Arabidopsis thaliana: one gene and its partners. The protein of the gene in region 3 interacts with the protein of the main gene of each other region in a pairwise test. Each region holds a gene or a part of one and is shown on either strand. Other genes may lie near its edges.

Region 1 (7,602 bases), on a different chromosome or scaffold from region 3:
AAGAAAAAACGTGAAGTGTGAAGAAAAAGGAGGGAAAAAATCTTCGCTTTTTGCCTACTTCCTTCACGCAACCTAAAACTAAAAGCCTATTAATTTTGTTCTCTTTTCTTTTTCAGATTGTTTTATATGTTGAACATTTCTATTTATCTTTGTCCTCCACTAATTAAATCGGATGCATGATGTATTCTCTCATATTAACAATATAAAATGTAACGTAAGAAGAAGTACTTTTTTAAAAGTAATCACAATCTCTAACAAACAACACCAAAAACTTTATCGCTTATATTATTATAATTACTCAACAATGTACGGATTTGAAGTCATTTAATTTTTTACTTTTCAAAATTTGAACCTCCATAAATTTTGTAGGGGAAAGTTCTGATGCCCTTCTCGTCACAGCATTTATTTCTTTGGGAAATTCAAAATTCGAAAATTCATAAAATCATGGACGTGTGGTAATTACGCTTATTACATACTATCATATGATCACGGCCAGGGATCAATCATTACGCAGTTGCCTACAAAGGTTATAACATTAGGTTTTCTTTTGTATCACATATCAATTCGTCAACCACGTCTAAAGTATATAACGTTTGTGTACAGAAAAATATATAGTGGGATATTATAGACTAGTGGAATGCTTTGAAAATATCAATTAAGTTGCTTGCGGAGTCAACAATGAACCGACTAAATGTTTCATTATCACGAATTATCTATATATGATGTTCCCAGGTATTGAATTGGCAACACTTCTAATAATGTATGGTTAGCTTGGGCGTTGACTTTGACATTATAATCATCTAGAAACAGTTTTAATCCGTATTCAAATCACAAATATTAGTGAATTATTAGCAACTAAACATATAATTTATTTTTTAGTCAACTTATCAACTAAAGATTCTAGACGTGCAAAGTCAAACAATAATAGCCACTTTGGTTAATTACTAAATTTAATATGTTGGCAAAAAATGTCAATAAAAACACACAAACACACAATAGGGTCTTCTTTAAATATATGTGCAGTAGGCAGACGAATGTCTTTTAGACAAAAACAAAAACAAGCTTCTCTTCTCTCTTCTCTTCTTCTCTTTAGTCATCTCAACCACCATGAGTCACCAGCAGCCGCCGAGCTATGCCACCGAGCCAAACACCATGTTCGTTCAAGCAGACCCCTCTAATTTCCGTAACATCGTCCAAAAGCTCACTGGAGCACCACCCGATATCTCCTCCTCATCCTTCTCCGCCGTCTCAGCCGCACACCAGAAGCTTCCATTAACTCCCAAAAAGCCAGCGTTCAAACTCCACGAACGGCGTCAATCATCAAAGAAAATGGAGCTTAAGGTCAACAACATCACAAACCCTAACGACGCTTTCAGCCATTTCCACCGAGGATTCCTCGTCTCTCCCGTCTCTCACCTAGACCCATTCTGGGCGCGCGTGAGTCCACATTCAGCGCGTGAGGAACACCACGCGCAACCGGACAAGGAAGAGCAAAAAGCCATAGCGGAAAAAGGGTTCTACTTCCTTCCGAGTCCGAGAAGCGGCTCCGAGCCGGCACCGGAGCTTTTGCCCCTGTTTCCTCTTCGTTCTCCTAACGGCACTAATCACCGGATTCATGAAGATAATCATCGAGACTCTTAGTCTTAATTTAGAACGTATAATTTGAGTTTTAGGCTATTTAATCGTAAGTTGGGGACACGTGATATTTGCTGTTGCTTTTTACTATTTTTGTTAGGGCTAGTTAATATCCGTTTTCCATTTAACCTAGACTTTTTTCATCCTTCATTAAACTTTTTCTTCAAGGGTCAACTATTTCGGCGCGTGTACTCCACTTCCTTTTGGAATACAAAAAAATCTTATTCTATACGCGGCAATTACTTACATTAGTCAAGGAAGACATCATTTCACGAGCATATAAATCAATGTCTTTTTAGATCTTTTATCTAACCATTAATACGTGGGATCCAAAACACAAGCTATCTAGTTTCTAAATTTCTTGAAAAAAGATAATATAACCACAATGCTCAATTTTCTTTTGGAAAGTAGTACTTTTTGACAAGTCTACAACGATCAAGCTAGCGTAATCGTCTTCGTATCTTAAATTTTTCCTTACAATAAAGTTGATGATGTGTGTATGGAGATGAATGAAAAGATAGGCTAAATAGGCCGACTTATAATAGATACAAAAATGTGTTGACTTTTTGGTTAAGAAAGAAACTAAAGAAGCTAAATTCTCTGTACAGTTTAACACTGCTCCAATTCAATTGTTTGTGTGTGTCATAAAGCTGCCAGCCGTTGGATTTAATGACAAAGCTGTGACGCAGAACGAAGCGGCGCCTATTTCCTCTGCAGATTCAACGGCTACGATTTAATTCTCCTGCTGAAAATATAATGCACTTTTCTTTTGTATCGATATTAAATAGATGTTACTTGTAACAGAGGGTGTCTCTGCATCTCTCTTTAAAGTCTGTTGTCAGTCTATCTTCGAACTCTGCCCCTCAGGTGTAATCCATATTTCAAACCTCTGCTCTAATCCTAGCCATCCATTTGTCTCAAGTCCCATCCAAAAGCCCATTTAAAGATCAAAAGTTCATCATTCAAAATCTGGTCTATTTGGGCCTCGAGTAAAAAAATTAATAGGACTAGTCTATGAAACCCATTAAAGTTCTTGGATACCAAAATCAAGGCTCCTTTAATAAACTTTAAAAGTTTTGTGTCGACACATGTTTCGAAAGTTTGTTTGCTTGCAATTATATAATTAGATCAGTTTTGTATAGAGAACCTAAAAGTTCAAATCTTCCTTTTGAAGTTTTGTATAGAGAACATAAATATTTGGTAAAGTGACACTGAATAAATACAATATTTCTTTATTTTGTTGTTCATGAAAAGATTTGTAGATTGACACACGAGACTACCCATTGGTTTGTTGCGGTTTAGGTTCAAACTCCAAAGATGAATAGGTTTTCCATTAGACCTCCAAGAAGCAGCCAGCTTGAACATGACCACCGTGTGTTTCCAATTTTACCCATCGTGAGCTACTTAAATCACATATATACCCTACGGTGGCTTCACCGTATCCAGCCAACGCCTTCCCGTTGCCGATCACAATCAGCATCCCGGGCCTCACCGCTACGTAAGTAACATTGTACACATCAGCAGGGATCTGGCCCACCTTTTGCCACTTGTCATTTAGAAACATCATCACATCGCCACCCCAGCACGCGTACAAATCCCCACCGGCGACGCAGGTCGGAGGGCTAACGGTATCGCCGGTGTCGTCGAGGAAGTCCTCCGTAAGTGGACCCCACTCCCACGTAGACACATCGAACGATTCGGCTGTTTTACTAAACTGCCCCTGTTCCTCAGTGGCATATCCACCGATGACGTGGAATCTGCCAGCATGGAATACCGCTTTGCACTCGTCTCGTTCCCGCGCCATATCCGGCAAAAACGTCCACTTGTCTTCTGACACGTCATACACCATAGCTGACGTAAGCGCACATTTCTCTTCGTTGTGTCCACCCGCAACCAGCACCGTCCGATCCGAATCCGAAGCGCATCCGAAGAAGGACCTCCGTACACCTGGCATGGTTGCCCCCACGCGCCATTTGGAAGTGAGAAAACTGAAGACGAATACCGAATCATGGGCCTGCCACGTAATCGGGTCAAGCCCACCCAAGACAATAAGATCGGATCCAACGGAAACCAATCTGCAGAACAGAGGAAGTCCTTTGGTTTGACCAGGAATCGGAGGAAGCTCCGTCCAAAGACCCGACCCGGATTCGAGAACAGAGATCCGGTATTCAGGCGTAGCGATGATCTTTCCGGATCCAGCGGGGTCGACACGAGCCTGAGACAGAATAAGAAGCTCTTGGCTATGGCGTGAAGCTTTTCGCTGATGTAAAAACTGAGAGAGAGAGACTTCACGGTTCCAGGCTCTGCAAACGGAGGCGATGACAGGGAACTGTTGGTAGGAGGAGCGAAGGAGACACTCGCGAGCAACGTCGTCGGGAAGATTGGGGATAAGTTCCATCGAGAAAGTATCAAAGATTGAAGCTTTTTGTTTATCTGTTTGTTGAGAAGTGAAGAAGATTGAAGCTTTACAAGTAGAGTGAGGGATATTGTAATAGTTTTGGTAAAAGATGAAATTTTGGATCGAGACAAGGTTGAAGAAGATGATGATGATGATGGGAAAGAGGAGAGTGTGCCGCTTTATAGATATTTGAAGATAAGTGTTTCTAGAAAACTTGTTGATTCATTCATCGTTTCTTTCTTTTTTTAATATAATTTTTGTGTTGTATATTTTATAGTTTAAATCAAATAAAATGAAGATAACGGAATTTGAGTTAGTATGGGCAAAAACGGTTAATGGTTGTGTCTTGTATTTAAAGATGGAGACTTTGGACCAATTGGGACAAGTTGATGGATGTCATATCCAAGTTCATTTTCTCCTGATATTTTTCTGGTCAGGTTTAGTAATTTAGCATTCGAATTCCAGTCAACAACAGATTATATATCTAAACATAGACGGTAAAATATACTACCGAATATCGAATTAGGCCTTTCGACTAATACTGATTTTAGATTTTGGATGTTGTTTTGACATGTTACTCTGTTTTCTATCTAATGCTATAGAGTATACACTTACTAGTGCGCACAACAAAAAACAGAATAAAATTAATCTATCATTTGTTCGTTTAAGAATAATGAAAAAACTTAAAACCTACACATAAAAGACTGTACTTTTTGAATGGACCTTCTGAATCTATAATTTAGATCACACCCTTTCTTTTTCTCATATACTAAAATATTAATCGGACCACACACACCCTTTTGCTTTGTAAAAATTTAAATCGATCTCCTAATTCCAAACAACAGAACTTGTTTTTTTTTTTTTTGGTTTTATTATAAACAACAGAACTTGTTCTTTTTTTTTGGTTTTATTATAAACAACAGAACTTTGTGGCAACTTGTATACTAAAGTGATGAATATATGTATACTACACATACACGACGGCAAAATATTATTATATGAAGAACGCAAAACTACAAAGATGTTTCCTTCGCATTATGTGGTACATAATCCAAGCACATAATAGCGTTTAAAGATTAATTTATGTTTTATTAAAATGAAATCCAAATCCAGCTCAAAGACTAATGCCTTGGAGTCTTTCCTCTAAAATCCTTCTAGATAATTTCTCTAATTTCACTTGTAGAATTTCCCTTTTTTTTGACAAAAATTTATTTGATTCTTATTTGGCTTGTTGTTGTCTGTATGTGTGTGTCTATCTTTGGTCGGCCATATTTAAATCTGTATTGATACTCGACATCTTTAAACTATTACCGATGACCAAAGTTATATGTTTTTATAAATATAGCTACAATATATACAGATATTTGTCGTAATTATATATGATCTTTATTAAACTTCTTAACGCGTGTGACATAAAGAAACGAAATGTTGTCTCCGTACTCAAAAGCGTATACTCGTTAATCAAAGCATTTTTGCTTACTAATTTAATCTGTAACGTATGGACATTTATGTACAATACTCTATTTTTCGTAGCTGTACAAAATTGAATACGGAATAATACAATATTTAGGGAATTAGTAGCATGTTCCATGCAGGTTGGACTAGTTCTAGTGTCCGCCATATGTATAAAGCTGTAAACATCTTTAACGCATATATTTGGTTTATTAAAACAATAGTTTTGTGATTACTATGACCCATTCATGTATTTGCATATAAATGTAGTAACTTGGAGTTTTGGTTAATTAGACAAAAGATACTCCGATCTAATATTTTTTAAAATAAGCTAATTGAAACTTCAACGTGGGATAAAACGGGCTGACAAAAAAAGGTTCAACATGAAGAAAATAACTCTAACTGATAAAACGGCACGGCGTCTGAATGACTATAACTCTATAAGGTGACAAAACGACACGGTGTCAACATCCTTAAAGGGGGGAAGAAGAGTCGTCGTGATTCGTCGGGTGGCTGGCTCTTTGATAAATCTAAACAATAAACGACGGAAGCAATCCGATTCTTCGTAGATAGGAATAGCCCGAATAGACTGGTACTGGGAGTGTTGGACCCACTTCATCAATGTTCGTGTCGATATTTTCAATTCTCATACTCTTCTTTGGTCGCGTTCAATTATTCAAATCTCTTAACAAGTATTTTCTTCACAAGAAAATTCGCCAAGCAAATTGGAAAAAAACGAAGAACACACGAAATAACTAGCCAAAAGAGTTTAATTACTTCTTTATATATGTGATCGTTATTTATTTGCATTTTACTCGTTTTTTTTTCCAATTATGTCGACACTTGATTAAATTAGAAGCACAAAGCCTCGAAGCAAACCGGCAAAGATAATAACATCTGCCAGAGCTAAGTAATAAGGTTTACAGTTAGATGATCGAGAGAATATGAGCTTTGGCACCGCAGAAAACGCTGGCCAATTACATAGGAAAATGTTCATTTGAAAAGATATATAGCTAAACAGTATATATGTCTCAAAAGATAGTTTGACTCGCCGCATCTTTCTATTAGGCACTCGACGTCTTCATCATATATGCATTATTATTTTGCATATTAATTAATGGTAGGGATCAAATTGTTACGAAGACATGCAATAGATCATTTGGATATTCATGCGGTCGACATCAAATAAAACAGCTCTCGTACATACAGACAGGATAAGCTCATGAAGTTTCCTTTGGTATTTATTTTTACGTCCTTTTCCATATCCATTATGATAGTTATCCGGTAGCTGATGTGGACTTCGTATCTTCTACTGCCAGTAATTGTATTTCTTTTTTTATAAGTGCGCGGAATATCTATTTTCATTCATCCTCATCATCATATACTAACATCAACTTATCTACCTTTTTTTTTTTAAGGGTTTGCTCGAGGTTTCATGTCATTTTTTGGAAATAAATTTTGACAACATGATTTAATGTTGAATGGTAATGAAATAAGAAAATCAAGATGATTCAATACTCTTCGATATATATAAAGTGAGCGAGAGGGAAAGCACAGAGTATGATAAATCAACTGAATTTAGCTAATAAAACACATTTTTTTATATTGATAGCGTCGAACAGACCAACGACAACACAACGGTCAAATTAACATGGCTTAAGTCAAGCGAGGACAGAACGTGCCAAAGCCATTGAATATATTGAATCCTTTTATAAGCATATCTTATTTAGTAACCACGTGAGTCGTGACGATGGCTTATTATTAGTACGTACTACGTAACTTTGAAGAAAAGAAGCCCTGAAATTTCGGAAATGGGTTCAAAAGTCCAAAAACAGTTTGCGGTTAAAGAAGGGTACGTTATTTTTTTTATAACTTTTTTTTCATTTTTTCATCAAAGAAAGGTACGTTAAAGACAAAGTGAAGACGTAGTTTAATTTTGACATGTTTAGACTCATTGATATTCAGAAACTTAGTCCTGGAATTGTGTTGTAGCAAAAACAACAACACAACGAGAGAAAGATAAGATAAAAGCATATATGATGGGTTTGTGTTGCGGATGTTACGAGAATATGAGACATGACACATCATGACATCAATGATATGGACAAGCATACGAT
Region 2 (7,270 bases), on a different chromosome or scaffold from region 3:
TTTCCTGCGTTAGTTGCCATCTCCCTGAATCACTTGTGTACTCTTCAAGCCTCCAAAGCCTCAATAGAAGATGGATTTTGTTAATACACACAAGGAATCCCCCTGAAGTAGTGTAGGCTCTTCTAAAGCAAGCCTTTTGATCAGGAAAAGGGATAATGCGAAACTGCTGCTCATCATCATCAGCATAGACATCATATGCTACAATGGCTCCCACGCTACTCCGACAACGATAATGGGTGTCAAGCCAGTGAAGCATCTTCTTCAAACTCAAGCATCTTTTATAGGATAAAGAAACGATGAGACTAGGACAACGGACTTTTTTGCGAGTCCACGTTCCCGTCAGTGACGAATATATCTCCAAGATAAGGGACTCAACTTCCCAACGGTAATCAATATCCATACAAACCACCTTATACTCCATAACGACACCGTCTTCTACTCGGGTGACTAGACCTATCGCCAAAACTGATGAACTGATCCCTTTCCAAGGGTGAGGTGGGAGCTGAACCCACTGCCGTAACACCGGGCTACCCACACTGAACGTCTCTCTTTTCGTTACGGTTTGAAGCAAAACCAATCCGTCCGTGCAGGCTACGATCTTATGTTTATCCACCAAGCCATGAGGCGGGATGTATGAACCTAGCCTACGGGGAAGACCATATCTCTTGCATCCGTAGAACCCCGCCATTTCCTCGACTGACCAACCAAATGTCCCGCACACGAGTGACCACGACGATGAAGAGTTTCGGTGAGCAAACACAAATAGATGACGGAAATACGTTGATTCTATTAATGATCTCCATCCTTTGCACACGGACTTGAACCTCGTTATACTTATAAAAGGTAATCTCGCCACTATCTCTGCCAATAATTCCTCTGGAAGCTCTATTCTACGCTTGCAACCACTCTTCATCCAGTTTACTTCTCGATTCTCCATCAGGATATATCTTTTTCTCTCTATTTACTGTTTCATCATGACAAAACTCAATTTGTTAATTTTATTTATTATAAGCTTATTTTGTTAGGGTTTCATCCGGATCTCTAGGATGATAATTTTTTAGGGTTTCATAACGACAAAACTCAATTATTATCTTTAGTTTTTTTTATAAAAAAAAATCTTTGTTAGGATAATCTACTCGGGTAAATGTATATATTTTTCCAACTTTCTGATAAATTTCGATTTCTTTAGTTTCGCATGTTAAAGATACATCTTGAAGAGCAAATCTGAATAACTTGACGAGGAAGACAGAAGCCCTAAAAATTAGAGATGAACTAAAGCCACAAGCCCACAACTTATTGGTTATTTATAGTTGCGTCGTTGTGATGAGGAAAGAAAATTAGAGATGAACTAAGACTTTGCTGGTTTGGTTTTCTTAGTGTTTTTTAAAAAACTAATATTTTGGAATATTGGGCTTGGCTTAGCTTAGCCCATGTTTCCAAAAAATTTATAACCCGAGTCTTCAAATACGCTCTATCTCGGCAACTGCACTTTGGGATTCTTTCGAGATTGTTGGCGAAATGACACGAATGTTAAATTTTCAATTCTAACACGAAATGGGACTAACATAACGTATCGACACTCTTGTCCTTGTAAGCTTCGTTAGATCAATAGAGTAAGTGTACTTTAGTTGGGCTTATTAGGACTAACATTAAATTGTAAAGTATAAAGGGTTGCCTGAATTTTCAACCCTATAGTAGTTGGAATCTCAATTTTCCACCATAAACTTTTAGCCACTTGAAAAATTACTATAAACAATTTTAATCTCGATAAAACTACATGTACTTTCGGATTTGTTCTTAAAACTACACCTCCAATTGAACCGACCAGTTAACCGATAATTATACATCCGGTTTGACTTACCCGAAATTTAACCGAACTTAATTCGATTTCGACTCTATTTTAACCCAATTTAGACCCAAAAAATATATTCTCTAGAAGAAAAATACTTTATTTATTTTTATTTATTTTTGATAAAAACTTAAAAATTAATTAATTAATTTTACCAAAATAATAAAATAACAAATATACCACACAAAATTATATAATAAAATTTTAGTATATATTTTGGTAATAAAAAAATATACCGCAAAATAATATAACAAAATAGACAATAAATTCTTTTTATAAATAAAATGGTGTTATATATATAAATGTATTTGGTATATACTCTAAATTTAATAATTCAAAGGACATTTTCTTTTTAAAAACACCATAACCATATATATATATATAACTCATCTTGAATATATAAAAAGAAAACTGAATCTATAAAGAAAAATGAATTTATAAATACCATAATATATACTTTGATTGTGGTGTTTACGGATATATATAAAAATTAATTTGGCATATATTTTGAATTTCATTACATATATAAAGTTCAAAGGTCATATATTATGATTTCAAGAAAAATGAATATTTTGTTTAAAAAAAAGACATAGCTTTAAATTTATAAAAAAATATAAATGATTGCCAAAAAGAAAATGTATATGCTTGTATATTATCAAAATTCTATAACAAAATGTAGCTCAAAATATAATTTGAGGTATATTTTGTCATATTAATTTTCGCTAAAATTAAGTTATAACTTAATATTTTTAATTTTTTATCACAAATAAAAATTAATAAAAACACTTTTACTTCTTAATAAGGCAATTTATTTACATTTAGGTCAAAATTAGGCTAAAATAGAGTTAAATCGAATTAATTTCGGTTAAATTATGGATAAGTCAAACCAGATGTATAATTAACGGTTAACTGGTCGGTTCAATTGGAGGCGTAGTTTTAAGAACAAATCCGAAAGTACATATAGTTTTATCGAGATTAAAATTGTTTATGGTGGTTTTTCAAGTGGCTAAAAGTTTAAGTAGGAAAGTTGAGATTCCAAATAGTACATGGCTGAAAATTTAGGCAACCCAAATATAAAATCTACCACTAACTTTAGTAACATCACACAACAACTTAAAAAATAAGATTAAAAACTATAAAATCACTCGACAATAATTTTTTTACATTCAAGCTAACAAATTTATCTATAACAATATAATATTTATACAGTCACACTTGACAAAATCAACCGACCAAATTTACCGTCATTTCGCAAGGACGACGTACAAAAGATTCGGAACCTTTTCTAAAGTTTTTTTATATCTCCAAGAAGCAACCAGCTTGAACGTGGCCTTCATATTTATCATGTGTTTCCAGTTTTAACCATCGAGAATTGCTCATATCCCAATTATACCCTACACTTGGTTCGCCGTACCGAGCCGAACCGATCACAACCAGGTTTCCAGACCTCCTTATCGCCACGTAAGATACATTGCACACGTCAGCAGGTAGATTCCCAACTTTATACCACGTGTCATCTTTCATCATCATCAGATCACGGCGACAACAAGCATATAAATCTCCGTTTTCACCGGCAGCACAAATCGGAGGCCACATAGTCATCTCCGAAGAGAGAAACTCTTCTCCTTGTGGACTCCACCGCCATGTGGTGACGTCGAACGATTCAGCAGTTTTACTAAATTGCCCTTGTTCCTCCGTGGAGTAACCACCGATGACATGGAATTTGCCAGCGTGGAAAATAGCTGTGCATTCGTCTCGCTCACGGCCCATATCCGGCAAGAAAGCCCATCTGTCTTCTGCCACGTCATACACCAGAGCTGACATCATCGCGTTCTTGTCTTCGTCGTGTCCTCCAGCCACAAAGACGTTCCGTTGAGAATCCGAAGCGCAGGCAAAGAAGGAACGCGGTCCACCTGGCATGCTCTTCCCGACGCGCCACGTGGAGGTCAAGAAGCTGAAAACGAAGACCGAATCAGAGGTACGCCATGTAACCGGGTCAAGCCCGCACAATACAACAAGATCCGACCCGACAGAGACTAATCTGCAGAACAGAGGCAACCCGTTGGAATGACCTGGAACCGGAGGCAGCTCGCTCCTTAGACCGGTACCAAGTTCAAGAACCGAGATTCGGTACACGGGGGTGGGGATGGTTTTATTACCCGATACGAGTTCTTTAACCGGGTCGACCCGAGCTTGAGACAAGACAACAAGCTCTTGACTATGTCCTGAAGCTTTCCGGTGTCGGAAAAAATCAGAGAGGCTGATTTCTCGCTGCCAGAGTTTGCAAACAGAGGCCATAAGAGGGAATTGCTTGTAGGAGGAGCGTAGGAGACACTCGTAGGCTACAGTTTCGGGAAGATCAGGAATAAGCTCCATCTTTTTAGAAAGTTTCAAGATTTGAAGTTCTTGATTTAGAAAAAATGAAAATGTTCAGGTTGAGAGAGATATGAATGAGGTGATGAGAGAAGACAGAAGAGTGTGGCTACTTTATAGAGGGATAAGTCTTCTAGAACAATAAAAAAGGAAAGTGTATTTTCAATTGGTAAAAATATCATTTAAATCAGCACTAGTTTACCATTTTTGTTGGTTTTAGAACATGAACTTTTGACCTAGTGATTTAAATCCTTAATTTTATATTGATTTTCAATTTAATTACGAACTCTCGTTGACTAATCCAGTTAATACACATTATTAGAAATTTTCCAAACCACAAACCCTAGATCTCTAAAATCGATTTCAAATTTTTCTACCTTTTTATACGGATTTTCTCCTCTACTTCGGATTTTCTATTTTTTTCGAATTCGAAGTAATCTCTCGTGTCTAAATCAATTGATGGCGCTGAAAAAAAAAATCAGTATCTCAATTGGTTTAGTCAAGAAAAATTAATGATTTAATTGGAAATCAACATAATCCTAAGTATAAAGTTTATAATTTAAATCAAAAAAAATAGTAAACTGGTGATATTTTTTTCCATTTTAAATTATAGAGATATGTATTTATTTTATTAACCTATTTACGATTCCAACAAGAGATAATTGGTTAAGAAGACTAGAAAAGTAAAAGTTTTGACTTTTCGTCAATAGGAAAAGTTCAATGTTGTTTGAATTCTTTTGCTTTTAAGACATTTTGTTTTTCGATGTATACATGAATTTCTTCTATAAACGTAACTTTGATAGGAGAAGTTAACAGAAGTCCGGAGAGAGTACCGTTCGGTTAATGGGATTAATGTGCGGGTTTTGGTTTATATGATGGAGACGGTGTACCAATTGGGACATGTTGAATGATGTGATGGTCATTGGATTTCTAGATCTAAGACCAGTTTTGCAAGCAATCAAGTTAGCTAAATCAAAGTCTTGTTAATTAATCTATTTTCGACTATCTATTTTGTTTATTAAAAAATCGTTCTTTATGTCTTTCTTTTTTTGGTTATATCGTAGACTAAATGTGTACTGACACGAAAATGACATCTATCGGATTATATGTTGGATAAATAATTAATTCATATTTCACCGTTTCACGTTAAGCATCGTAATTTTTACGGGTTACTTTACGAATGAAGGAAAAGTTATCTATGTGACTAATAGCTAGTAATATTAAGATGCTCGACGTGGAATTAACGTTACCTTTTTGCCGTAATTATTGAAGTGTACATGTATAAATAATTAGTGAATCTTCAAGTAACGTATTAATGAAGCTGTTCTACCACGTTGTAGAGACAGATTATATAAAAATAGTAGTATTAAATTAGCCCGAGTAGTGGATATAAAAAAAAAATGAATAATGCATGTAGGGATCTAAATCTATGCTATATTCCAACATTTTTTAAAATATATATAAACAAAGTCAAGAGTATTGTATAGTTAAAATATTCGAAATATACAAAGGTCCATGTGATCCCATGTGCGGTAATGTTCACGAAGACATGTTAACCAATAGCCAACCAAACGATTATTATATTCTAATACTATAGCCTATCGTATTATACACGGATAAAATTAATGGTTGAGTTATTCAAATAGTTGGGACTTGGGAGTTAAAGACTGGTTAGTTTAAACCAAAGCGTCTAGAGACGATGTTTCGATGGTTTGAAACGTTGCTATGTAGATTGCAGTTAACGACGAATCGCACCATCTGTTTTTTTTTTTTTTATCACATAAGTACCTTTTTTGGTCACTTTTTATAAGGTCTTAAAAATGGTTGCATAATTTGTTAAAGATATGAAAGTACAAACTTGGTTCTAAATTCACCAGATCATTAAGAAAATGATAATTGGCACAAGTGGCCCAACGCACAAGACGATAAGACGAAACCATAGGAGGTAAAGCGACTTTAAAAGAGGCAACACCTTGTCACTTTCACTGACTTCGTTGTTTTGTTACATTCATGTATGTCAAATTAGACATTTAAAACAATATAGTAGATACTAAGCTAACCATTTGTTCGAAGTACGCATAATTAATTCAAAGGTGCATATTGTATATATTTATTTCCGTTTTATAATATCAATGTGTTTATTCTATCAGCATGAGATTGTTCTAAGACAACTGTCATATTTTAAACATCTTTCTAATCAATTTGATATTTTAGTTTCATTTGATTCCATGTGAACGGCTTATCCAAAAAGTGACCAGTGTACTATACAATACTCATAATTAACAATTCAATATTGTTTAAGCGCAAAAGAAAACGTGAAAAAGGAATTAGAAAAGAAACAGCCTAAAAATTGAAAACTTCAATATTTGTGGTTCCTTCCATCCTCTTATTTTAATTTTTTTTTTGTGTATCCTTTCTCTATTGTTTGTCGGCCATTGAATAATTGTATTAGAGAGATTGGCTAAACCATCCAGAAGAACAACGATTTTTATTAAAGCTTGTTAGTTTCATACAAATACAATATTATCATAGCAAAATATTAATGATCGTATATGTATTATATTAACAAGAATGACGTATCCAATCCTAAGTTTGTCCCCTCCGAAATTATAATAGTTTCTGTAAAGTTGACTTAAATATACTATATACGAAGATAATTTTTCTGGTTGCCAATCAACCTATGGCAGTTAAATGACATGTTAAAAGAATCAATACTAGATGAGACCAACGAGTGAAACGGTATGTCTACATTACAATCGACATAAATAGCTCTAAAGACAAGTGAATCACGTCACTCCCTAAGTAGATTTCAGAAAACATCTACCATTAGGCCCTTATCCGAATGTCGACAATCTCATTTTTCGGACCGATCATCTCTTTTGCCAAACATTTTTTGAGCATGCATAACGTACCATGCGCGGGTTTATTAAGCCATCCTTTACTCTCTATGGTAGGAGTCAAAACATGGTTCTAACCATAAACTTTTTATTTTTTGATAAGAAAATGACAAACAAAAAACATGAAATGATACTATTACAAAGTTTGGGA
Region 3 (9,165 bases):
TTTCTTCTCCTGAACTGACACGTGGCTCATCTTTTTAGCCGTCGACCCCATTGTTCTCCCACTCTATTCTTTTGCTTACACTCAAACTCAACAGTTCTCTTTTTTAACTGAATAGACATATAGTTGTCTGTTTGACATAACGATAATTAGTAGAAATCTAAAACATTAGTTAACAAACAACAAAAAGAGTTTTAGGAATGGTTCTGTCATCGGGCTATATTTTTTCCCCAGATGTTTAGTGTAATTAATATAAAATTTCACATTTTAACTCCTATGTAAGGCTTATCAAATCCAATTTATACTCTAAATCATTGCATCAATGTAACGTTCATTATTATTTTAGTGTGATTTTGTTTGTTTTTTTATTGTAATTTTTTCATTGTAACTCAGTGTATACAACACTTGCAAAACGATTAGTTTGAAATAAATGAAAAAAGTTGTTCAGTTTCTAACTATTGGTGTTTAGTAATACAAGTTACAACTTCCTACCAAAAGTTATGGGCACATGATAGGACACCCATCAAGTAGATGAATATATAAGTTATGTACATAACTCCACATTTCTATTGGCAGGCGTTAATTAAATTTGGTTATACAAATTTACTTTTCAAAATCCATATGGATTAATAATTAGGACGAAAAAGAACCAATATTCTATTGGCCCGCGTGAATTAATATTTGACCTTAAAGCATTATCTAGAAAAAGAAAAAAAAAACTCCATTATACCATTTAGTTGCTTAAACAGATACTTCCAATGCAAAATATGAAAATTTGTCTTCATCACATGCAATCGATTCTGAAATATTCACATTCGAGAATTTTGGATAAAATGGTCCTTCGTATATGAGCATATCAAGTTATACTTTTGTTTTAACGCATTTGTATGTTTTGGATCTAAGTATTTTGATTATCCAATTTGCTGAGTGCATTTTCCATCAAGAACTTCAACAAGTTTTCAGTAGCTTACTCACTTAATGTTAATATAACGCTCCATAGGTGTGCAAATGTTAGTCATATTAAAGTTGTTGGTTCTGCATAAAAAGCTGAAACATTTGTGTTCTACAAAACCTTTTTTGGTGACATGGACCTATAGTTGGTACTTGAAATATAAATAAAATAGGAGGATCTGTAATTCATGTCTGTCTAAGCACAATAAAGTGAAAAATATAAATTAAAAACTCAAAAAGCTCATCGTAAGAGTAAAAACTTTTTACAGAGAATATACGGTTTCAGCGGGTTACTTTCTTGGGACCTTCTCTATATTATAGCTTTTGGCGCAGTTAAATTTATGTTATATTAATCATCAATTTTTTGTTTTTACGTTTTATATCGTATGTAAGGAAAAGTAAAGAAAGCTATTAGAAAAAAAAGCTACTAAACATGAAATTATGAGTATATCTTTCTTAAACTCAAATTCAAGCTCTCGTGGTAATAAGTGGCTATTGACGATAACAATTACAAGTTGGAATGTTGAATAGTTTCGTTTTTTTTATTTCTATTAATGTTTTTAAAATGATTGTTGAAATAGGGAAAATTTAACAAATGAAGACAACGATAGATGGAGAGGTCGATGCAAATGGTTCGAGTGATCTTATCCATTTCATGTGGACACGTGTCGCAATAGGGAAAGCTTCTCAGCAACGTGATTTATTTGTTTTTTTCTTATCATTAAATGTTTTCATTTTATTCTTCGAAATATACACATGTACAGTATTTCCAAAAGAAAATACACTATAGTTGATAGTTCATAAAAATTAAAGAAATACTTAATTGATTTAATATTCGTATTGTTGAGTTTTCCTTCTAAATACTACAAGTAGTGAATTTTACTTGATAACATTGATTAATGTAAGAAATTAGGTATCGATGCACATATGAAACAAGTCGTATGTCACACTTAAAACTATCGTTAATTTGAAAAAGATAAGACATGTCGGCGGTGCTAAACAACTATTTAAGCAAAGTATACACTGAACTTGGATAACTTAGATATAGTTTACATTGAAGTTGACAAATTTACACATTTATAAATAAGTTACTGGTTTGTATGTGTTTATAAATATGTCGTAGAGCAATCGAATAGTCAAATATGATTTGTTATCCTATACATTATTAAAAATATACTTTCGGGGGAATAGGGCGATTGGTGGGTAGCATATGATGTTACTAATCATTCAGATGAACCATTTGCATTATTTCTTTGTTTATTTAGTATCCAACGTTTTAAGAGAAGAAGCGCACATGTTTTTTTTTGCACCATATACTGACTACTGTTGTTGTAAACTTGTAATTATACATACATATATATATATATATATATATATATATATGTTTTCAACAATCAAACGTACAATTTTTTTCTATTTTCCATTTAATACAATTTATTTCCTAGAACTACAAGTTGTTTTTGATTAAAACATGAAAAGTATACTATATAAGTTATATTCTTACTAATCATAGTTACACACGACTTGAAATAAATACATACTAAAAAATTTGGAAGGTTATATGTTTAATTTGCACCAAAAAAGGCATCGAGTAATCTTATGTTATGTATACATCATATATCTGGTTTTTTTTTGTTGATAAAAGTATATGTACTATATCTTAGCTAAAGATGTAGGTGATGATGGGAAATGCTTAGGTGTATTTTGGTACCTTAATCATATGCTTGAATGTGCGTAGACGTATTATTTTGTTTAATTTAATGATATGATTATATTTTTATTTTGCCGTTTAATTTAATACATGTAGGTCCAATAGACAGGAGGCATTGTTTCTCAATTACATAAATTCAAAGGGTAGTTTAGTAAATAAATTATAGGCATATCAAAACTAAGAATTTTTTATATATATATGCAGCTGCTCTTTTGTTTAAGGCAAATTCCTATTCGAAATTGGTAGAAAATGGAAATTAAAACAAAAAATTAGGAAACTAACAACAATAATACTAATGAAAATCTATTAAGGTTTGAGTTTGCAAACTTTACATATGACGAGTTAATTAATTTTTTCATGCATGAGCTGGATCCACGAATCAAGGGTCTTTGGTCCCACTTTCTTCCCAATTATATAAATTTCCTTACCCTATATTTCTTTCATTGATGATTCAACCCCTATATTTCACTACTTCACAAAATAACCCAGAATTTGAGCTCAAAGCAACATCCAAAATGTTCTTCTAAATAGAAAAATAAAACAGAATATAGAACAATAGTACATATAATATACAAAACTAACTTGTAAGAAATTGAGAATAAAAAAGAGAGTGGATCTAAATGAAATTTAATAAAACCAATAGTCTAAATGTAGAGAGAATGATGAAAATAAAGGACATGTCAGCTTCTACATATATGTAAATAAAAAATATATATGACTGAGTATATAAAAACCACATTTTTTTTTTCTTCTGCATCTAAATGTTACAAAAATTGAATAGGAAAAATTAAGAGAGCTTTACTCTGTGAATAAATAAAAAAACAGAGAAAAAGAGCTCTAAGGTGAGACAAGCCTTGTCTTCTTCAACTCCCTAAGTCTCATCTCACCATCTCTCTCTTCTTCTTTTTTTTGGTTACCCAGAAGAGATTCACTTCTATCTCCAACAATTTCGTATTCTCTCATAATATTCAATTTTAAATCGAATAAAACTCGCGTCAATTTCCCCTCTTTCTTTCTGGGTATATATTCTTTTCTGCTTTTCTTTTTTTGTTTCTTGGGTTCGAGCTACATAGAGAGAGGTATGATGAATCCGAGTCACGGAAGAGGACTCGGATCGGCTGGTGGGTCCAGCTCCGGTAGAAATCAAGGAGGTGGTGGTGAGACCGTCGTCGAGATGTTTCCTTCTGGTCTTCGAGTTCTTGTCGTTGACGATGACCCAACTTGTCTCATGATCTTAGAGAGGATGCTTAGGACTTGTCTTTACGAAGGTTCGTATCCAAAAACCAAGATCTTCTCTTTTCATTTTTTTTTTTTTTTTTTTGTTCGTTTAATCTCACGAGAGAGAGAGAGAGAGAGAGAGAAAGAGAGTTCATGGTCTCTTGCTCCAATGATGGGTTTATTTGTGGTCCATTCTCGAAAATTATGTTATTTTGAGGAATAATTATGGTTTTCATATCGGTGGTTGACTAACTTTGCTCCCCCTTTAATAGAAACCATTTTGGTTACTTTTTAAGATTCACATATTAATCTCGAGCTTCTTCATTTAGATCACACCATTTTGATCTACTGATAGATTCACATGTAGATCCATTGTATATAATAAGTTAGGGGAGGTTTCAAATGGATTCAAATCTTGAGTCTTTGATCTTTGACTTGAGTTTTGGTTAAATGTCAATTCATGAGGTCCTTGTTGTCAGAATTCAAATCTCTGTTTTTTTCTTTTATCTTTGAAGATATGAAACATTTTGGTTGTTATGACATGCAGTAACGAAATGCAACAGAGCAGAGATGGCATTGTCTCTGCTCCGGAAGAACAAACATGGATTCGATATAGTAATCAGTGATGTTCATATGCCTGACATGGACGGTTTCAAGCTTCTTGAGCATGTTGGTCTAGAGATGGACTTACCTGTTATCAGTAACGTTCTTTTTACTCCCTCAAATCTCATCTAAGTTTGAATCTTTTTTTATAGATTATTGATCTTGTATTCGTTTAACTAGTGATGTCTGCGGATGATTCAAAGAGTGTGGTTCTAAAGGGAGTAACGCACGGTGCGGTTGATTACCTTATCAAGCCTGTACGTATGGAGGCACTTAAGAACATATGGCAGCATGTAGTTAGGAAGAGGAGAAGTGAATGGAGTGTACCGGAACATTCTGGGAGCATTGAGGAGACTGGCGAGAGACAGCAGCAGCAACATAGAGGAGGTGGTGGTGGTGCAGCTGTTTCTGGTGGAGAGGATGCGGTGGATGATAACTCATCCTCGGTTAACGAAGGTAACAATTGGAGGAGCAGTTCACGGAAGAGGAAAGACGAGGAAGGAGAAGAGCAAGGAGATGATAAGGACGAAGATGCGTCGAATTTGAAGAAACCGCGTGTCGTCTGGTCTGTTGAATTGCATCAGCAGTTTGTTGCTGCTGTTAATCAGCTCGGCGTTGAGAGTAAGACTAAAACTTCTTACATTTGCATTTGTGATTGTTATGCTCAGGGTCTAAATGATCTTCTATGGCGCAGAGGCGGTTCCTAAAAAGATCTTAGAGCTGATGAATGTTCCTGGTCTAACCCGAGAAAACGTAGCAAGTCACCTCCAGGTATAAATCTTATACTGGATACCAAAATGAGCCATTGAAATGCTTAGATGTTCTTAGCGGCTTTATGTGGACTTGCAGAAATACCGGATATATCTAAGACGGCTTGGAGGGGTATCGCAGCACCAAGGCAATCTTAACAACTCGTTTATGACGGGTCAGGATGCGAGCTTCGGACCTCTTTCGACATTGAATGGGTTTGATCTTCAAGCACTAGCCGTCACAGGTCAGTTACCTGCACAGAGTCTTGCACAGCTTCAAGCCGCTGGTTTAGGCCGGCCTGCGATGGTCTCTAAGTCAGGTTTGCCGGTTTCCTCCATTGTGGATGAGAGAAGCATCTTCAGCTTTGACAACACGAAAACAAGATTTGGAGAAGGGCTTGGGCATCACGGGCAACAACCCCAACAGCAACCACAGATGAACTTACTTCACGGTGTCCCCACGGGTTTACAACAGCAGCTTCCTATGGGTAATCGAATGAGTATTCAACAACAGATTGCTGCTGTTCGAGCTGGAAATAGTGTTCAAAACAACGGAATGCTGATGCCTCTAGCGGGTCAGCAGTCTTTGCCTCGGGGACCACCGCCTATGCTAACCTCTTCGCAATCATCCATCAGGCAGCCGATGTTATCAAACCGCATTTCCGAGAGAAGTGGTTTCTCTGGAAGGAACAATATCCCCGAGAGCAGCAGAGTGTTACCGACAAGTTACACTAATCTCACAACACAACACTCATCAAGCTCGATGCCTTATAACAACTTCCAACCAGAACTTCCCGTGAACAGTTTCCCGCTGGCAAGTGCACCAGGGATATCAGTACCGGTTCGGAAAGCCACTTCTTACCAGGAAGAGGTTAACAGCTCCGAAGCGGGTTTCACTACGCCGAGCTACGACATGTTCACCACCAGACAGAATGATTGGGATCTGAGGAATATTGGAATAGCCTTTGACTCACATCAGGACTCAGAATCCGCTGCGTTTTCCGCTTCAGAAGCCTACTCTTCTTCGTCCATGTCAAGACACAACACGACAGTTGCAGCCACCGAGCATGGCCGAAACCACCAGCAGCCACCATCGGGAATGGTACAGCACCATCAGGTTTATGCAGACGGAAACGGTGGTTCAGTGAGGGTGAAATCAGAGAGAGTGGCTACGGATACAGCAACAATGGCGTTTCACGAGCAGTATAGTAATCAAGAAGATCTTATGAGCGCACTTCTTAAGCAGGTTTGATTTGATTTTTTTTTTTTTGTCAAACTTATATAGAAGCATAATCTGATCCGTCAACGTACATGTTTGCGTTCAAAATCAAATATATAACAACTCTCAGACGCTTTCTCACCATTGGTCGCATGTCTTTTTCATAATAATGCAAATTACAACTAAATAACAAAAAAAATCAGTGAACCAAAAAAGTTGAAAAACACAATCTTGAATTATTGATATACAGGAAGGGATTGCACCGGTTGATGGCGAATTCGACTTTGACGCATACTCCATCGATAACATTCCGGTTTGATTGGATAAAAAAACCGATAAACCGGAGGGACTACCCGGATCTGTACTGTATCATTTTTACACGACGATCTACTAAAACTTGTTTGATATATATGTAGTCTGCATGAAATTTTAAATGGCAGATTATATAAGAAATAATTATTCATGTTAGGGGTTAATATCCTTGGAGATTCTTTTGTTCCTCATTTATGTAGTGAGGCTGTTTAGGGTTTTGTAAGTATGTATTTCGAGTAAATGCTTAGAATAATTCGAACAAACTTAATTTAGTACAACGCCACAACGTGAAATCAAAGCAATTCAAGATCAAAACACAAAGGGATTTGTCTGTTCAATATTTGTATGTATACATACTGATTACTAAAATCTGATCATACGAAATTCAAGAATCACACGGTGCACAAAGCACCACTAGTAGTAGAAGTAATTCTGCATCAAATCTGGTTAGAAAGAATCAAGAAAACTGTATATTTTCTGGCTAATGAGGAAAGTCCTTCACTGGAACTTTTAAATCCGAAGAAACAGTAGAGCCAAAAATGGTGTCAGGATGAGAAGAAAGGTGGATACATGTTTCCTGTGACTGTTGCTCGTGGGTAGTACAGAAGGGAGTGAACATTCCTGGCCGTTGAAGAGTACTTTGGTGGGAAACCCATCTTTGGAACCAACTTTGATTCCAGGAGTCAGTTTCTTGGTGAAGGAGATAACCGACTGCTGTTTCCCGGGTATCCGAAAGTCTTCACTCGGGTTTTTTCCGTCTTTCTCTGCAAGGAGATAGTTCAGTCCAGGGAGCCCTTCCATTAAAACAGTTGTGTTCTTCCCGTTGACCGCGATGATACTTCCGTTAAACGAGTACGCTTTCTGAAAACCGGGTGCAGCATTTCTCAGTTCAACCGCGGTAAACCAATCCACGAAATCAGTATCACCCCAGTTGAAGAGTGTGACTCGAGCAGTCCATCCGCCTCGATAGTCTGTAGCTAGGTGCCAGTTTATGCTGACTCCACAGTTATCTCCACAAGGTAATGGGTCCGGGACTTTCCGGTTTTTTAACACTGCCCAAGCGTTGGTAAGTTTGGTTCGGTTGTCAAATGGAATTAGAAGAGCCTGATATGGAAGAGGAAGAGCTGGAGAAGTTGTGCTGCAAGTACGCGCCACTCTGTCGCTAGAGCAACCTCCACAAGCGCAGGTCTTACACGGGATTACTGAGTCATTGAAATAAGAAGAGAATGAGACGCAGCATTTAGGAGGAGTTGGTTGAGTGATGTTGCAGACGACTTGCCAGCTAGCAAATGCACTCTTGTTTGAAGGCAAACCGCTTGTATCAGGGAACTGGCTTGAGCTGACACGAAGAGGAGGGCCACATTTGTAATCCGGGTTAAGGTTACCTTTAATCTGCCAGCTCTGGGGAGGTGTTATAGAGGAGATGTTGAGATCAGGAGGCATTTTGTAAACTTCTATTTGAAAAACCGATTTAGACTTCTCTGGATCCATGGACCGTGGCAGAATAGTTCCATTTCTGCAGCAGTATGGGATACGCCCGACATTGGTATCGTTATACTTAGTCAGGGGTAGGTCTATGATGTGTGGCCTTCTTGCACAGCTCATGACATTAGAGAAGTCAAGATCTTTATAGTATTTTGCTTGAGGACCAGTGATGCAATCCGACGAATCGACAACACTTGGATAAGCTCCTTTGGTTGAGAAGAGAAACTCATCTTTCATCCACATAAAACTTAGATCCCAATTGTCAAGCCGACCAAGCAGGTTATGATTCTCGATAGTGACCTGCGCTGAGTAACTCGACTGATATGCTCTGGTCACATCGTACATTATGGTTAGATCTCCTTCTTGCCTAGGAAGGAACTTTTGACCAATTTTGCTTGTTGTAATGTTCGGATTCGGTGTGCAACATACTTGCAGAACATTACTACCTGGAAAAAGCCATAGAGAAGAAAAGAAATGTCAGTGAAACACAAAGGAAACATTTATGCTCGCAGCAATAAGAGTCTTATTATGATCAAGAAGTAAAAGAAAAACAAATATGCAAACTGAACAGCTTAAATTCCAAAATGTTTAATCAGATATTCCACACATTTATCAGAAAAGCCAAGCATGAGATAGTTTCCTAAGTAAACTTAAGGTCTAATCTCAATTGCTAATAAGACTAGTTCAAACTTTTAGTTTACAAGAAATCTATATAAACAATAGAATTTTTCAACCACTCTATTGATCACAAATAGACCTGGTCAATGTGATCATATTGCTCGACTTTTAAAACTCTTGGTAATGCCTTCATAAGCAACCCAAGATCACATAATATTTAAAATTGCAACAATTCATTAAAAAAATTATGAACAATTAAACGAGAAATGAAAAAATACATTAAAAAATCTCAAGATTTCAAG
Region 4 (7,118 bases), 200 kb from region 3:
GATGTCACACCGATCTTCCTTGCTCCAACCGCATACACTTGCTGCAACAGTCAATCAAAAACTCAAAATGTCTCATCTTTCTTTTTCTCTATTCAGAACAGAGGATAACCAAGGAAAATTCTTTACCTTGATAAATGTAGAGAAGTTATCGATAAGGAAAGATCCGTATGCATCAACAGTGTAAACTTTGTAAAGCAGAGGATTCACATAGTAGTTTTGAACAAAATCACTGCTTCCTGCACTTAAGAGACAGATTGCTCCCTTTATGATCGAATCAGCTTTTTTGCTTCCTGCAATTTTTATTAGCTTGCTCTTGTATTCCTTGAAATACTCTACTTGCTGATACAACGGGATCGCGTGCTGCCAAAAAAAGAACTAAGATCAGAACCAAAACAAAAAAAAGAAACAGATCAAAGAAGAAATGTATCAGAACAAAGAACCGTCACTACTTACATTGAGAAGAGCAGCTTTGTCATCATAACCTGAAGCTGCAGAAGCGAAATTAGCACCAATGAGAAGATTCTTACCAGAAGCTTCAGGACTTAGATAAGCTGGTGGGTACTTAGTGAAGCCTAAAGTCTCAGCTGTAACAAAAACAAACACAAAGACTTCAGTGTCAAACAAACTTAAAAATATAACTTGAGTAACAAGTAAAACCTTTTACCAGTTATATCAGTGGCTAATTTGCCGTTGCAGAAACGACCGGTGGCTTTGTGGTTAGCGAAATCACGGCCATAAGGAGGATAATCAGCTCTGAAAAGGGTCGGAAGATAGTTGTTGTTGCCGACATCAACTACAGAGTCACCGAATGTCATGATTGCTGGAACAAGTTGAGCAAAGGAGATTTGGAGAATGGACAAGGTAGAGACCAATGTGAGAAGCAAAAACGACGACGTGCAACGATCCATGTTTTTGCTTTGGTATGTGACTATGTGTGAATGGTGAAGATTATATGTACTTTTGAGTTTTATATATACACATAGATAAAGAGGTTAGGAGTTTAGTTTACTTCAATGTTGTGTCAACTCTGAAACTCTATCTCTCTCTCTCTCTCTCTCTCTCTTATTCAATATTTCTCCAACCATTTTTGATTCGTGGAAAAAACTGAACCAGCCTGTGTTTTGCATAATTTGATATTATAGGTAAACTTTATTAAATAAATTTACCTTTCAATGGCGCACATGGATGCTATAAATAGGATCTGGTCTGTGTTTTTAAAGTAAGGAAGATGGAGGTTGTGAGATATAGCTAGGGCTAATAAATGAGAGTGGTTTCACGTCGCTTTGGATAATAATTAAACAATTAATTCTTTCATATGTAATATATATAAGAGATTAAAGAACATCTTATAGAGTATGTAAATATCTCCCTAATATTAGGCTGTTTTCTTTCGGAAGAGAAATTTATTGTTGTGATACTCTCCAGCTCTACGAATCAGCGTTACACTGCCTGTATGAGTGTATGTAGTGTAGACTTTACGTGGAAGAACTTGAAATAAATTTTAGTAAATGCTGGGCCATTGAAAGAAAACGTTTTACTTTATCCACAAACAAACATTTGATTTATTTATTTGCATTGGTGAGTTAGTTTTTTCATGAAATAGAAGGTCTATGTGATATTCTTAAACGACATCGTTTGAAAAATAGGGCATGTAAGAGAAATTAGATGGAAAAGTGTAATATTAATTGTTTATGATAATGTTATTATTTTAGACTTTTAGCTAAGAATAGTTTGCATCTAAGCCATGGCATTCTTTTTTTTTTAATAATTAGTTTTAGTAGAGACAAATAGTAACATAATGATAATGTTATTTTAGACTTTTACCTAAGAATATTTTGGTTTTTTTTTTCTTTTTTAAATATTTATTAATCAGTACTAGTAGAGACAAATATTAACATAATGATATAAAAATAGGTAAGAATATTTAGGATTTGGACACGGTTCCTGGAAACAAACCGAATAATGTAAAGCTTAGTTTCTTTTTTTTTTCCTTTTGTAAACAAGGTAATGCATTCATCATAGAATCGAAAAAATGCATTTTTTTGGTCCACTCTTTTCTGTATTCCGTTATTAGAGGAAGCCATATGTTACGAGGTAATCGTAGCTATAAAACTCCCAAGGGAAAATTTGGCGATATAAGGGGAAAAACATAGAGACATTTGGACCGTTTATTAACGGACATAATATAAAAGTCCAAAACCTTCTTTATAACGTACATCGAAATATATAAAAATAAAGAGGAACTATTTATTATATAGTTTTGCTACAAAATTCGACGACGATTCCTCATTTATCTCTGTCTCTCTCTCTTTCTCTCTTACTTGGGCCTACGTGCTGTCTCCTTAGGCCCCGCCTGCCTTGCCAACTGTTCATTACAAAAAATTTCACTTCAGCAAATACTATATCAAAAGTGATTGATGATAACTTCTAATCACATTCTAATTATGTAAATTATTAAGCATAATTGATTATTGGCTCGCCTGGAAATAATGTTCAAGCTTCTTTCTCAACGTTGAGTGTTCTTTCTTCAGTTGCTGGAAAGTCCTCAAGCATCTGCAAGTAAGAAAAAGCGAAGAAAACTAATTAGGGGGTCGAAAATGAAGTAAAGTAAAAGTTCAAGGTTCAGCGGATTAATTGCAGCAATTTTAGCCATCTAAACTATACTTATTTTCATTTTGACCCCGTTACTTAGTTTTCTGTTAAAAACGAGAAGCATGAAGGTATATAAGTATAAAGACGAAAGTACCCTTCCGCATTTCCAGCTCTGCAGTATTCCCTAAACGTAGTGCATTCAGCTTTCACTTTACTTGCCCCAATGCTACAAAAAAAAGAAATGCAACATTTGTCAGTATAACTAACGATCATAAAATCTAATTATTTCTGGTTAAAGTAGATTCTGTCATTGAATCCTGAATGAGAATGGAAGTAATTTTAATGTACTTTTGCGTTACATTCTTTTATCTTATAAACATTTAAGTATTCGCATTTCTTTAAGTAAAATTATTTCTTGAAGGCGTAATTAGAATAGTCAAAAACTAAGGGGGGAAATTACCTCGTGCTGCTTCCCTTAAACTGATGCATGTAACTATCCAGCCGATTGAAATCAAATGATCCTCTTTCCCTGCATTGTAAAAATGATTAGAAAACTGAAAAAAAAAAAATATATATATAATAGAAAACAAAATAATACTCACAAAGCTTGGTCAATGTTATTGATTAACCGAGCTGAATCTTTGAAGTATAATGCGGAAACTTCTTCAACAAAATTAGGGTTTGCATCATCTTGGAGCTCTTCTAACTCCATGAATTGTTCGTCGAGATATCCCTGCATGCATTTTCCTATATTAGTCATTTTCTAAATTATATGAAGAAATTCATATATAAGTGGTACGACGTACGAAGTTATATTACGAAAATACGAAGAAACAAACGACCAAAACCTGATCAAAGAGGGACTGCTTGATGAGTGCCACTTGCCTCTGCATGTTTGTTTAAATTTTGAGAATAGATTTAACTATAAGTGCGAAAAATCAAAGTGATAATTCGTTTTTATCTTAGGTAATTCGAGTGGCAATGCAATACTGAAACGTTGGACATCTGAGATATATATAGTGAAATATAGAATAAATAAATAGATCGTATTACATCAAAAAAGAGAAAGTAGAAAAGAGAAGAGAATATTTGTAAAATGATGGGAACCTGCAACGTAAGGGCATGAATGCTGTATTCTACTCCAGACATAAAAAGAAAACGTGTATTCGTTATTATCAGCTTATTTCGATGACACATAGATGTATACTCAGTATAATTTTCTATAACTTCTCTATAAAATATATGTATAACACAAATGGTAGGTGTTATCAAATGATCATATATGTGTGTTGATATATAAGTTTGAATGTATAGTAATCTTTTATATATATAAGATAGTGTTTATGTTAAAGTTTTGAATAAGAGATTTCAATTAGAGAATTCCTCAATGTTGATTGTTTAATTAATAGTATGGTCCATTATGAAACTTAAACTACTGTGGATGATTGATCTATTGCCCAAAAATATAACTGAAATGCATCTTAATTAATAAGTAATCAAAGGATCTCACGAATGGGAATACGACTAATATTATATATATACGTACATCATAGAAACATGTAAAATTTCGAATATAGAACCTAAAAGCTAAACGTTGATACTATACGAAACACACCTTTGGAAATGAGGCAAATATATACTAGTAAAATGTATGTGGACACGAATTTTCCTGAAAGTGAAAAAGAAAGTTATAGATTGAAAAAGTATACAGTTCAAGAAAAATATTCTGAACAGACCATTTCCGTCTTGATTAATTACTGAATTTAATTCATGTTTTCACAAAGTTTTCTATAATATCATTGTCTTTTCTTTTTTCTTTTTTTTTTTGTTATTTTTAAGGTTGTGATTTCCTGATTTTAATGGTACCAATTACGTACACCCACAACATTCAACTATATATGTACATATGAATTTACGAAATGGGCAAAAAAAAGTTGTACTTTTGGAAGAAAAAATTGTTGGAATCTAGCACACTAGCAAACACTATTATTGCTTATCTTTTGTTTCAACAACAGAAAGCAATACTAATTCGAAGTATTTTAGTTTGGGGTCCGGAATTCAATTACTAAGTAAGGATTATATCTTGTGATAAACATTAAACGACATTTTTATATTAAAAACATAGTCAAGGTTAGTATCATGATCAAGACCAGAAATAAATAGATTTCTATTGGGGTTTTCTGTTTGATGTGTTTTCTTTCTCTTTGACCGCTGCAACAAACATTGAAAAATTAGATGCAAATCTTTTCCAAGTTTCTTCCATTAATGTGTGGAGGTGAGAGGGTGTTGTGTGCCAAGGAAAGGCTAGTACTTGTGCGGATGCGTGTGTTTCCTACTTCTATATTGTAACAAAAAAAGAAAGAAGTAGGAAACCAAAAAGAGAGAGAGAGAGAATAAGGTATACATATATCCAACGAGTAAAAAATAAACCATAAATTTCTGTTATTGGAAACAAGGAACAAGTATCTAAAAAGGAAAAACTGAAGAGCACATAACAAGTGTGATCTAAATGATTGACACAAAGACATAAAAGATCTTTTTATCATTACAGCATAATTTGTTCCTTTCTATATCTCTTTCTCTCTCAGACAAGCATCGTGAGATCGAATTACAGAAGAGAGAGAGATTGATCATATACAAAAAAAAATCAGCTTTATTTATTCCTCCGCCCACCAAACCAATCTCACATAAAGGACTTGTCTACTACATATTTTCGGTGGAAGTGGGTTTAGAATCTAAGTTTTATTATTGCTTGCTGTCTCATCTCGATTATTCTCCTTAATTCCGACCTCCCCTCTAATAACAAATATGTAATACCACAAAATTAGAAGAAACAAAACAATTCATTCCAAAACTTGTGAGGTTGGTTTTACATGATAAACCCCAATTTTGTATTTAAATCAAATGTTATTATGTTTACCTTTTAGTATTATACAAGATAAAATTCTAATAAAAGAGGACAAAATTCATGACATTTATCTAAATTTTGTTGTATATGTGTTACACAATCCAATTATTCCTTTATATATATATGTGATCTTAATTTTATAAAAGAAAATTATTTTTTGTTCTTATGATCTTTTGTATATTTCTAAGCTTTAAGGCTATATATAGTCTTAACTCTTAATTATTATGAACTCGTAACTATCATCTCTGCCTCTGGTACAAATGACTAATTAATTCGAAGGGAGAAAATATGTAGAGATTTAGTTTTCATATATTATTAGGAAATTGCTAGACTATAGGCTAGTTTGTAATATAACTTATATTCATATTCAAGACAAAATCAGTCTTGTAATACTTTAGAAGGCTAGCTTGTTCCACTATTAATTCCTATGATTGGAAGATTAATACATGTTTAGAGAAAGTTTATTTTTAAATGATAGATATTCTTCGGAAAGTTATCTTGAGATTTTTTGTTGGATATACATGATGCCAGAATTTGTGCTACTAAAGTTATTAGAAGTAGCTATTAGCACCTAATTGAACTAAGTATTTCGTATAAAGGGCACAATGTTGACTGGTTCGTGATTGAAGATGACTCCTTAAAAGTTCAAATGTCGACACACAAACAGATTTTTAATTCTTTTAATTGTGTTGATTACTCAATTAAAAACATTCTTCTCAACTATTAATATAAATTCAATAATATCCAATTATTTGAAAGATGTAACTTCAATCATCTATCACCCGTTAAATAAAGTATATGCTAAACAAATTTATTTTTATCCTCTATCACTTTCGTGAATAATTACACCTCCGCGATATTATGAACATGATTCCTCCCAATCCGAAAAAGCTATAATCCTAAACAAATTGTTAAATAACAAATAAATCGGCCGATAACGACTAATCATAATCATAAAAGTAAAATAAAAATATAGACCCGAGTTTTACATTAAATCATAGGGAACCGTCTTCCGACATATCATGTTAATATACAATTTCATTTACTCATCCCAACTAGAAAATACTATCAAGTTTTGAGTAGTTGTCGTGGTTGAGAGTTGAAACAGAACAATAGCAATAATTCTTTTGAGTATAAATGTGATTGGTACAAACATAATGGTCATTGTGAAGAATTTTGAATTCGTGTTTGTTAGTTGTTACAGATGAGGCTGCACAACCATGGAAAACAAATTCCACTACTATTTGACAAACAAAACTGGTGACAAGAGACCATCATAAAGACGTTTGACCATTTTATTAAAGGGTTTGAAACATATTAAAAGATTAAGTGATGAATCCTTTTAGGAATACCATTTTGGCATTGTTCTTATAACTCATTGGGAAACTTTATATCATTTGAGTGTGGTTAGAACTCTAAGCTATCATAGCTGGCTTACTTAGATTACGTTAGTGAGTATTCAAGATAGATTAGACCCTTATCATCCCTAAAGACTACGTACGTCCATGCCTTTACCTTTACAGATAGAGATAAAATGTCCATAGAACTCCATATACTCCCGATTATAATCATCGTTTAGTCTCCAATAACATCTTATCCTCCATTCTTTCACACAATT

What was found.
Region 1: the proteins of RR1 (region 3) and AT1G80440 interact in a two-hybrid assay, tested with the Arabidopsis thaliana proteins (one study listed by BioGRID).
Region 2: the proteins of RR1 (region 3) and AT1G15670 interact in a protein complementation assay, tested with the Arabidopsis thaliana proteins (one study listed by BioGRID).
Region 4: the proteins of RR1 (region 3) and AHP4 interact in a two-hybrid assay, tested with the Arabidopsis thaliana proteins (one study listed by BioGRID).

Annotation. Positions count from the first base shown.
Region 1 is NC_003070.9:30,238,194-30,245,795, reverse strand, and holds AT1G80440 (Galactose oxidase/kelch repeat superfamily protein), read right to left. Parts: upstream 4,345-7,602; 5' UTR 4,034-4,344; coding exon 2,969-4,033; 3' UTR 2,620-2,968; downstream 1-2,619. Other genes in the region: AT1G80450 (VQ motif-containing protein), read left to right, coding at 1,108-1,641.
Region 2 is NC_003070.9:5,387,074-5,394,343, reverse strand, and holds AT1G15670 (Galactose oxidase/kelch repeat superfamily protein), read right to left. Parts: upstream 4,393-7,270; 5' UTR 4,226-4,392; coding exon 3,146-4,225; 3' UTR 2,672-3,145; downstream 1-2,671. Other genes in the region: AT1G15680 (F-box family protein), read right to left, coding at 1-937.
Region 3 is NC_003074.8:5,752,373-5,761,537, forward strand, and holds RR1 (response regulator 1), read left to right. Parts: upstream 1-3,448; 5' UTR 3,449-3,740; coding exon 3,741-3,927; intron 3,928-3,983; exon of another isoform or gene 3,984-4,342; intron 4,343-4,424; coding exon 4,425-4,577; intron 4,578-4,660; coding exon 4,661-5,101; intron 5,102-5,174; coding exon 5,175-5,251; intron 5,252-5,329; coding exon 5,330-6,475; coding exon of another isoform or gene 6,476-6,481; exon of another isoform or gene 6,482-6,698; coding exon 6,699-6,767; 3' UTR 6,768-7,071; downstream 7,072-9,165. Other genes in the region: COBL8 (COBRA-like protein 8 precursor), read right to left, coding at 7,271-8,691.
Region 4 is NC_003074.8:5,550,718-5,557,835, reverse strand, and holds AHP4 (HPT phosphotransmitter 4), read right to left. Parts: upstream 3,640-7,118; 5' UTR 3,486-3,639; coding exon 3,441-3,485; intron 3,363-3,440; exon of another isoform or gene 3,353-3,362; coding exon of another isoform or gene 3,326-3,352; coding exon 3,195-3,325; intron 3,122-3,194; coding exon 3,053-3,121; intron 2,819-3,052; coding exon 2,747-2,818; intron 2,554-2,746; coding exon 2,481-2,553; coding exon of another isoform or gene 2,469-2,480; exon of another isoform or gene 2,443-2,468; intron 2,366-2,442; coding exon 2,318-2,365; 3' UTR 2,047-2,317; downstream 1-2,046. Other genes in the region: AT3G16370 (GDSL-like Lipase/Acylhydrolase superfamily protein), read right to left, coding at 1-41, 127-360, 454-584, 665-908. UniProt on the Arabidopsis thaliana protein: Functions as a two-component phosphorelay mediator between cytokinin sensor histidine kinases and response regulators (B-type ARRs). Plays an important role in propagating cytokinin signal transduction through the multistep His-to-Asp phosphorelay.